2 linked regions of the Sus scrofa genome follow. The protein of the gene in region 1 binds, or shares a complex with, the protein of each later gene. Links are inferred from orthologs where the notes say so. Each region holds a gene or a part of one and is shown on either strand. Other genes may lie near its edges. The genes, in order: ERCC2 and POLR2G.

Region 1 (3,803 bases):
GATTCTTGGACCTTGCTAAGGTTCTGGCTGTTTTAGCATTTTAAAAGATAAAGCAGAAATTCCCATAGTGGTGCAACAGTAATAATCCCGACTAGTATCCATGAGGATGTGGGTTCGATCCCTGGCCCCGCTCAGTGGGTTAAGGATCCAGCATTGCCATCAGCTGTGGTGTAGTTCGAAGGTACAGCTCGGATCCTGTGTTGCTGTGGCTGTGGTGTAGACCAGCAGCTACAGTTCCACTTTGACCCCAGCCTTGGAGCTTCCATGTGCCTTGGGTACAGCCCTAAAAAGAAAAAAGATAAAGCAGTTATCTGTAATTTACCTGCTAAAGAATCTTCAAGGTGTAATTAAGAAAAAAAAATTCAGATATAATTGACACCATATGTGACTTAACTTTTTTTTTTTTTTTTTTTTTTTTGATCATTGTGTGGAGCAGCTTGATGAGGGATCTTAGTTCCCAGACCAGGTATTGAACCCAGGCTGCAGTGAAAGCACCAAACCCTAACCACTAGACCACGAGGGAGCTCCCTAAGACATACTGTTTTTGTTTGCTTTTTAGGACCACACCTGTGGCATACATTCCTGGCTAGGGGTTGAATTGGAGCTGCAGCCGCTACCCTGTGCCACAGCCACAGCAATGCCAGATCCGAGCTGAATCTGCAATCTATACTGCAACACTGGATTCTTAACCCACTGAGCGAGGCCAGGGATTGAACCCACATCCTCATGGATACTAGTCGGGTTCTTAACACCCACAATGGGAATTCTGGACTTACTGTTTTAAAAAGAATAATTTAAGAGCCTAACAATTGTACCAACTCTTGCTTCCCTGTAGTAAGTTTCCAGGTGTCTTAACTGTTTACTAGGGAAGCAGGTTGAGGTTCCAGTTTCCACGGATGCCCCAGTGTCACCCGGGACAGGACAGCCAGATGGCCCCATCCCGCCTTAGCCATTAGGTGTTGAGCCCCAGGTTCCAGGAGTGGTTGGGCTCCTTGGCCTGTCCCAGTGCTAAGATGCCCTCTTGGCCCCTCAGGTGACACCCCTGCGCTTTGGGAAGGACGTCGATGGAAAATGCCACAGCCTCACGGCCTCCTACGTGCGGGCGCAGTACCAGCAGGACCCCAGCCTGCCTCACTGCCGCTTCTATGAGGTGCCTGCGGGGCAGCGCTGAGGGAGGGAGGCGGGGACCACTCACCACGGCCAACCTCCCTGACTCCTGTGTGCCCTGTCACCCTAGGAGTTTGATGTCCATGGGCGCCAGGTGCCCCTGCCGGCTGGCATCTACAACCTGGACGACCTGAAGGCGCTGGGGCGGCGCCAGGGCTGGTGCCCGTACTTCCTTGCCCGGTACTCGGTGAGGAGGCTGGCAGGGCTTGCGCAGGGGGGGCGTGCGTGCGGGTTACGCCTTCCCACCCACCTGTCCCTCTGCCTGTGTCCCCCTGTCGGTCTGTCCCTTTGTCAGTCAGTCTCTCTGAGTGTGTGTGCCTTGCCTGTGTCTGTCTTTCCTCAGTTCGCTTCTGCCTGCCCATCTGTGTCTGTCTGTCTGTCTGCCTGAGCCCCTTTCTGCACCTCGTCTCTGCGGGCCTGTCAGGCAGCACTGGGGCCGTGTGCTGTGGGCGGGGGGCAGTAGCACGAGGTGGGCGCTGGTGGCCGGGGTAACCCTGCACTCCCGGCCCCCAGATCCTCCACGCCAACGTGGTGGTTTACAGCTACCACTACCTGCTGGACCCCAAGATCGCCGACCTGGTGTCCAAGGAGCTGGCCCGCAAGGCTGTCGTCGTCTTCGACGAGGCCCACAACATTGGTGAGGAGGGAGCCAGGGCTGGGAGGCCATGCCAGCCCCTTGGGCTGCCGCCCCAGCTGCCTGCCTGAGCCCGGCGTCCCCTCCTTCCTCTTCCAGACAACGTCTGCATCGACTCCATGAGTGTCAACCTCACGCGCCGGATGCTGGATCGGTGCCAGGGCAACCTGGAGACCCTGCAGAAGACGGTGCTCAGGTGCGGGGCGCCGGCCTTTCCCAGGCCCGGTTCTCTGCCTGCCCTGCCCCCCACCCCAGGACCCCGGTCCCCGTCCCCGGCGTGTCCCCAGCCCTTCCCATCCCCCGGCTCCCCGCAGGATCAAGGAGACTGACGAGCAGCGTCTGCGGGACGAGTACCGGCGCCTGGTGGAGGGGCTGCGGGAGGCCAGCGCCGCCCGGGAGACCGACGCCCACCTGGCCAACCCCGTGCTGCCCGACGAGGTGCTGCAGGGTGAGCCCCCCGCCTCTGTGCCCGCGCCCGCCCCGCTGGGCCCCTGGCACCCCCCCTCCCCGCCACCGACCCGGCTGAGCCCGTGTCCCCGCAGAGGCGGTGCCGGGCTCCATCCGCACGGCCGAGCACTTCCTGGGCTTCCTGCGGCGGCTGCTGGAGTACGTCAAGTGGCGGCTGCGGGTGCAGCACGTGGTGCAGGAGAGCCCGCCCGCCTTCCTCAGCGGCCTGGCCCAGCGCGTCTGCATCCAGCGCAAGCCCCTCAGGTTCGTCCAGCAGGGTGGGGGTGGGCCCGGGGCCGGTATGGGGACTAATGGAAGCCTGGGGGAGTGCGTGTCACACCCGTGGGGCGGAGGGGGCAGGTCGGGGGCTCTGGGGCCAGCAGGGGCTTGGCGGGCAGCAGATGAGAGGCAGAGGAGAGTTTGGTGGACTGTTCACGGGGGTCCCGGGGGCCGTGCAGGATGGAGGAGCTGGTGGGGTGACCAGGCCCCTGCACCTTTGCGGAAACTCATCCCACCCCAGGCCACACGGGGAGGGGAGGGAGTAGCCCTGGAGAGCGGCTTCTGATGGGCCCAGCAGGGTGGGAGCTGGCAGAAAATGCTGTGGATCCTGCCCCCCAGACCCCTGTCGCCTCCCACTGTCCCCCAAGCCCCGGGGGCAGGAGCCTCCCCTCAGTGGTCAGGGAGGTGGTGCATGGACCCGGGAGTGGGGGTGGGGCTTCCTGGGCTTTTCCTTTGCTGTTCTGCCTGAGTCAGTGGTCTTCCCTGAACCTTGGTCTCCTCCTTTGTGCCCCAGGCAGGGAGTCAGCCCCTTACTCCCAGGTTCCTGAGGTGGTTGGTTAGGTGAGAAAGCAGCCACGCCAGGAACTTAGCATCTTGAGTGCTGACAATGAGCTAAGCTACATTCCGTATCCGTGGGATCTCAATAGCGTCCTCGCCTCGCGCTGTGGATGGGGACACTGTGTCCCAGGGAGGGGAAGCCAGTGCCCAGGGCCACACAGCACTGTGGGGGTAGCTGTGACTCGAAGCCAGGCCTGTGGGGCTCCGGAGTTCCTGGCTGCTCTGCCTGAGGTTGGGCGGGGAGCCCTCGATGGGGCCTCACCTTTCACCCTGCCGTGGGAGACTTGTGAGGGCTGCGGGGAGCTTCGCCGCCTGCATGGTCCTGAGTGCCTGATCTGCTGGGACACGGTGGGGACTGAGACAGCCCTGGCCCTGCCTTCCTGGGGTTCACAGTCCAGTGAGAGAGGGACGTGCCAGGGCTGGGATGGGGGGAGGCCTGGGGGCCCAGGGAACATAGAGGGGCACCTGGTCGACCGTGGAGGAAAGGAAAGGAGGTTCAGGAAGCGGGTTTTAAACCTGACTGTCTGCCTGACACCAAAGCCGTGCTGCTGCTCCACAGCCTCTCCCTGAAGGGTGAGAGCCTTGAGTGGCCCTGTGTTGTGTACGGGCTGTTGCTGGACACAGTGTGTGCGAAGCTCCGGGAGTGTGTGTGAGATTGTCTCCCGAGTGTGTGGGACTCTCACGCTGTGTCGCTGAGGGTGGCGAGCGTGGCTGAGAC
Region 2 (4,544 bases), on another chromosome or scaffold:
ATGGTCCTTAGTCGGATTTGTTAACCGCTGAGCCACGACGGGAACTCCTATTTATTATTTTTAATTCTATTATTATGAACTTTTTTTTTTTTTTTGTCTTTTGTTGTTGTTGTTGTTGTTGTTGCTATTTCTTGGGCCGCTCCTGCGGCATATGGAGGTTCCCAGGCTAGGGGTTGAATCGGAGCTGTAGCCACAGGCCTACGCCAGAGCCACAGCAATGCGGGATCCGAGATCCGAGCCGCGTCTGCAACCTACACCACAGCTCACGGCAACGCCGGATCGTTAACCCACTGAGCAAGGGCAGGGACCGAACCCGCAACCTCATGGTTCCTAGTCGGATTCGTTAACCACTGCGCCACGACGGGAACTCCTGAACTTTTTTTTTTTTTAAGGGCTGCACCTGCAGCATATGGATGTCCCCAGGCCAGGGTCCAACTGAAGCTGTAGCTGTCGGCCTACACCACAGCCACAGCAACAACAGATCTGAGCGGCGTCTACAAGCTACACCACAGCTCACAGTAACGCCGGATCCTTACCCACTGATTGAGGACAGGGATCTAACCAGAGTCCTCATGGATACCAGTCAGATTTGTTACCACTGAGCCACGATGGAAACTCTCTATTATGATCAATTTTAAACATACAAAAGTAGAAGGAAACATATAAAAAGCCACAGTTTATCCATCATCTGGCTTCAACAATCATTAATACATCGCCTGGAGTTCCCCTCCTGGCTCAGCAGAAACGCATCTAAGCATCCATGAGGACTCAGGTTTGATCCCTGGTCTCGCTCAATGTGTTAAGAATCCGCATTGCCCTGAGCTGTGGTGTAGCTAGCAGAGGGGGCTCGGATGTGGGATTGCTGTGGCTGTGGCACACGCAGTTCCATGGCTACAGCTCTGATTCGACCTCTGGCCTGGAAACCTTCATATGCCACGGGTGCAGGCCTAAAAAGACCAAAAAAAAAAAAAAAAAAAAAAAAAAGTCATTGCCAAACTTGTTTCATCTGCACCGCTGCCTTTTTTTTTTTTTCAAATATTCATTTAATTTTAAGACAATTACATTTTAATAATGGCTGTGTTTAAGAATTAGCTTGCAAAATTCCTGAAATAGTAACAGTTGGCTTTTGCAGGGGCTCCAGCACACCACTGTCAGCAGGTAAGTTTGCTCTTGCAGGGAGGCTGGCTTCAAAAAGAGGGAAGGAGAGGGGTCAGGGCTGCTGTGGTCCTGGCCTCCGTTCTCTCCAGATAAGAACAGATAGTTATTATGCTTACTCTGTGAAAGCAGTCTTCAACTGTTTGCTGAATGAATATATTCTGCTAAAGCGCTTTATTTATGACGTCTCTCATTAATTAAATCCACCGTTTGAACTTCTTGTCTAGACCTGGCCTTGCTAATTTGTGAGCGTCCTGTGCTTTTACAGAGGGTGGACTGGACGAAGGGGGAGGAGCTTCGTGGATTTCCCCGCCCACGAAAACGGGGCCCAATCAAGTCCGCAGACGAGACGTGTTCCCGCCCACCTCTCTGGGGCAGGCCCGGAAGCGGGATTGGGGAGGTTGGTGTACTTCCGGTCCTGCCGGGGGTTTTGCTGCTGCTGCTGTCGCTGTTTTAAGCCTGGCTGCTCTCGGCCTGGCTGCTGTCCAGCCTCCTCCGGGAAGATGTTCTACCATGTGAGCAGGGCCCGGGGTGGCGGCAAGGGTAGGGTCGAGAGGAGGAGCGAAGCGGAAGGCCGGGAGTAGGGGGCCGCTTCTTGCCTGGTCTCCATCCCACGTTCTCCGCAGATCTCCCTGGAGCACGAGATCCTGCTGCATCCGCGCTACTTCGGCCCCAACCTTCTTAACACCGTGAAACAAAAGCTCTTCACTGAAGTGGAGGGGACCTGCACCGGCAAGTGAGTGTCCCGCTCTCCGTGCTGCCTGAGCAGTGCGCCCTCGGCGCCCGGTGCCTTCATCCCCTCCTCAAGTCCTGAAAGTTTGTGCTGTCTACCCTGGAGAGCCCTCTCACCCACCCAGACGGCCCAGGCAGTCATTTGCTTCCTGCTTCGGGTTCCCATGATGCCCTCTGCGAAGCTGGATAACGGGACTAACTTCCCTCAGCCAAGATTGGTCATTCATTTACTTTACAAACATTTCCAAATCTCCAGCTGTGTGCCAGGCTCTGTGTTGGGCCCTGGGAATAATGCAGTGAGAAAGACAGAAGCGGCCAGCTCGAGCTCATAGTCTCTTTGGATTTTGCTGGTTTTCTTTATCCCCCACGCCCAGGGACCTGTCATGGCACATTGGGCTTCACTAAAAGTGTGTTGAATGAGGGAGTGACCAGGATAAAGCAGATTGAGAGTTAGGGGGAGGAAGGAAGAGCACTGACGTTTGACCGTCTCTTTGCTCTGCACAGAGGGACCTCTCATCTGGTGATGTAGACAAACCAGGATGAGCAGGGCCATGGAGTACTTGGGGCTCCAGCATCAGAGCAACTGGGGGTGTCTTTTGAACATACAGGTTCCTGAGCCTCATGTCATCCTTACAGCATCCCCATATCTCTGGGGACAGGCCTGGGGATATGCATTTCATATATATATATGTATGTTTTTTTTTTTTTTTTTTCTTCTTTTGCTGCACCCTTGGCATGTGGAAGTACCTGGGCTCAGTAGGTTAAGTATCTGGCATTGTCATTGTTGTGGCGTGGGTTCTATGCTTGGCCTGGGAATTTCTGAATGCCACAGGCCAAATAAATTTTAAAAAGAGATTGAGGTCTCTTGGCTCAAGGACTGCAGCCCTTTTGGACACTTATTGTGAACTTATGAGATCAGCATTTGGCTTTGTAGATGCTGGTCATTGCCCTGTCTTCTCTCTTGATCATTAAGTTCTCTGGGACCAGGAGTGCCATCTACTTGCCCTTTGTGATGCCCTTTAACCCCCAGGCTCGGTGACTCTTGTGGCAGATTTTTTTTTGTCTTTTTTTGGGGGGCTGCACCTGTGTCATAGGAGGTTCGCAGGCTGGGGAGGAATCGGCACTGTAGCGGCTGGCCTATGTCACAGCCACAGCAGCGCCGGATTTGAGCCACATCTGCAACCTACACCACAGCTCACAGCAATGCCGGCGTCCTGAACCCACTGAGTGAGGCCAGGGATTGAACCTGTGTCCTCATGGATACCAGTTAGATTCGTTTCTGCTGAGCCACAACCAGAACTCCTCTTGTGGCAGATGGTTTTAGAGGCTCTTCCACACCTTTCTCTTTCTCATCCTCCCTGCAGGTATGGCTTTGTAATTGCTGTCACCACCATTGACAATATCGGTGCTGGTGTGATCCAGCCAGGCCGAGGCTTTGTCCTTTATCCAGTTAAGTACAAGGCCATCGTTTTCCGGCCCTTTAAAGGGGAGGTCGTGGATGCTGTTGTCACTCAAGTCAACAAGGTAAGTCCATCCACAGGGCAGGTAATGGGAAGTCCTGAGAAAATCTGGGATGGGCCCCAACTCTTACTTGCTAACTCTGTGTCTTTGGCCAAATCACCTCTTTGTGCTTCAGGTGTCCTTACCTGCCAGATGGCATGGGAATCTTGTCCTGCCTCACTCAGGCAGGTGTAAAATGTAAGTCAACATTAAGAGTCAAAAGAGCAGTAGCTTCCATTGATTGAATAGATCCTGTGCACCAGGTGAAGTGCAAAGCCTCACAATGACTGTGAGGCGAGTGCTTTTACCTCCGGACTGAAGCTTGGAGAAGACTGCTGGCCAAGGTCATGTGGCCGACAAGTGTTCAGATTCCAGACAGACAGGTTCGAGGCCTCAGGTGTTGACTACTACACTCTGTTAACATAAAGTGAAAGTTTGAAAAAGGAGAGATGGGGGAAAAAATATAATTGTAATGTATACATGTAAGGATAACCTGACCCCCTTGCTGTACAGTGGGAAAATAAAAAAAAAAAAAAGAAAAAGGAGAGAAAAATGAAAACAAATGCCAAATTTCAGAGTGGTTTCAAAACATGAAGACTATTATTAGGATGCAGATAAAGACGGGATGCTCAGCAGACAATGGGGACAAAAGAAAAAACTAGGTCATTCATTTCCCTTTTAGGTCGGACTCTTCACAGAAATTGGGCCCATGTCCTGCTTCATCTCTCGACATGTAAGTCCAGGCGGGCTAGGTGGGGCTAAGGAGGAGACATTCATTCCTGACCGTCTCTTTCTTTTTTGGGCTGCACCTGGAGCACGTGGAAGTTTCCAGGTCAAGGATTGAATTGGAGCCACAGCTGTGGCAATGCTGGACCCTTAATCCATTGTGCTGGGCTGGGGATTGAACCTGCATCCCAGCAGAGACTTGAGCTGCTGCAGAGATAATCCTGGATCCTTAACCCACTGCACCACAGTGGGAACTCCCCGTGACCATCTCTTGAAGCGTCCTTTTAATGTGCTGACCCAGGAGTTCCCTCATGGCACACAGGGTTATCCAGCGTTATCACTGCTGTGGCTTCAGTTATAGCTGTAGCACAGGTTGGATCTCTGGCCTGGAAACTTCCACATGCTGTGGGCATGGCCAACATAAGGAAATA

What was found.
Region 2: ERCC2 (region 1) and POLR2G share a complex: the UniProt entries of both Homo sapiens proteins name them as parts of the TBP-based Pol II pre-initiation complex. The link is inferred for Sus scrofa from reciprocal best matches to the Homo sapiens genes ERCC2 and POLR2G.

What each region holds. Positions count from the first base shown.
Region 1 is NC_010448.4:51,743,768-51,747,570, reverse strand, and holds part of ERCC2 (TFIIH basal transcription factor complex helicase XPD subunit), read left to right. Parts: intron 1-1,033; coding exon 1,034-1,150; intron 1,151-1,237; coding exon 1,238-1,354; intron 1,355-1,680; coding exon 1,681-1,804; intron 1,805-1,900; coding exon 1,901-1,997; intron 1,998-2,115; coding exon 2,116-2,249; intron 2,250-2,343; coding exon 2,344-2,512; intron 2,513-3,803. UniProt on the Homo sapiens protein: ATP-dependent 5'-3' DNA helicase. Component of the general transcription and DNA repair factor IIH (TFIIH) core complex, not absolutely essential for minimal transcription in vitro.
Region 2 is NC_010444.4:9,005,606-9,010,149, reverse strand, and holds the start of POLR2G (DNA-directed RNA polymerase II subunit RPB7), read left to right. Parts: upstream 1-1,518; 5' UTR 1,519-1,658; coding exon 1,659-1,670; intron 1,671-1,781; coding exon 1,782-1,891; intron 1,892-3,251; coding exon 3,252-3,411; intron 3,412-4,069; coding exon 4,070-4,120; intron 4,121-4,544. UniProt on the Homo sapiens protein: Core component of RNA polymerase II (Pol II), a DNA-dependent RNA polymerase which synthesizes mRNA precursors and many functional non-coding RNAs using the four ribonucleoside triphosphates as substrates.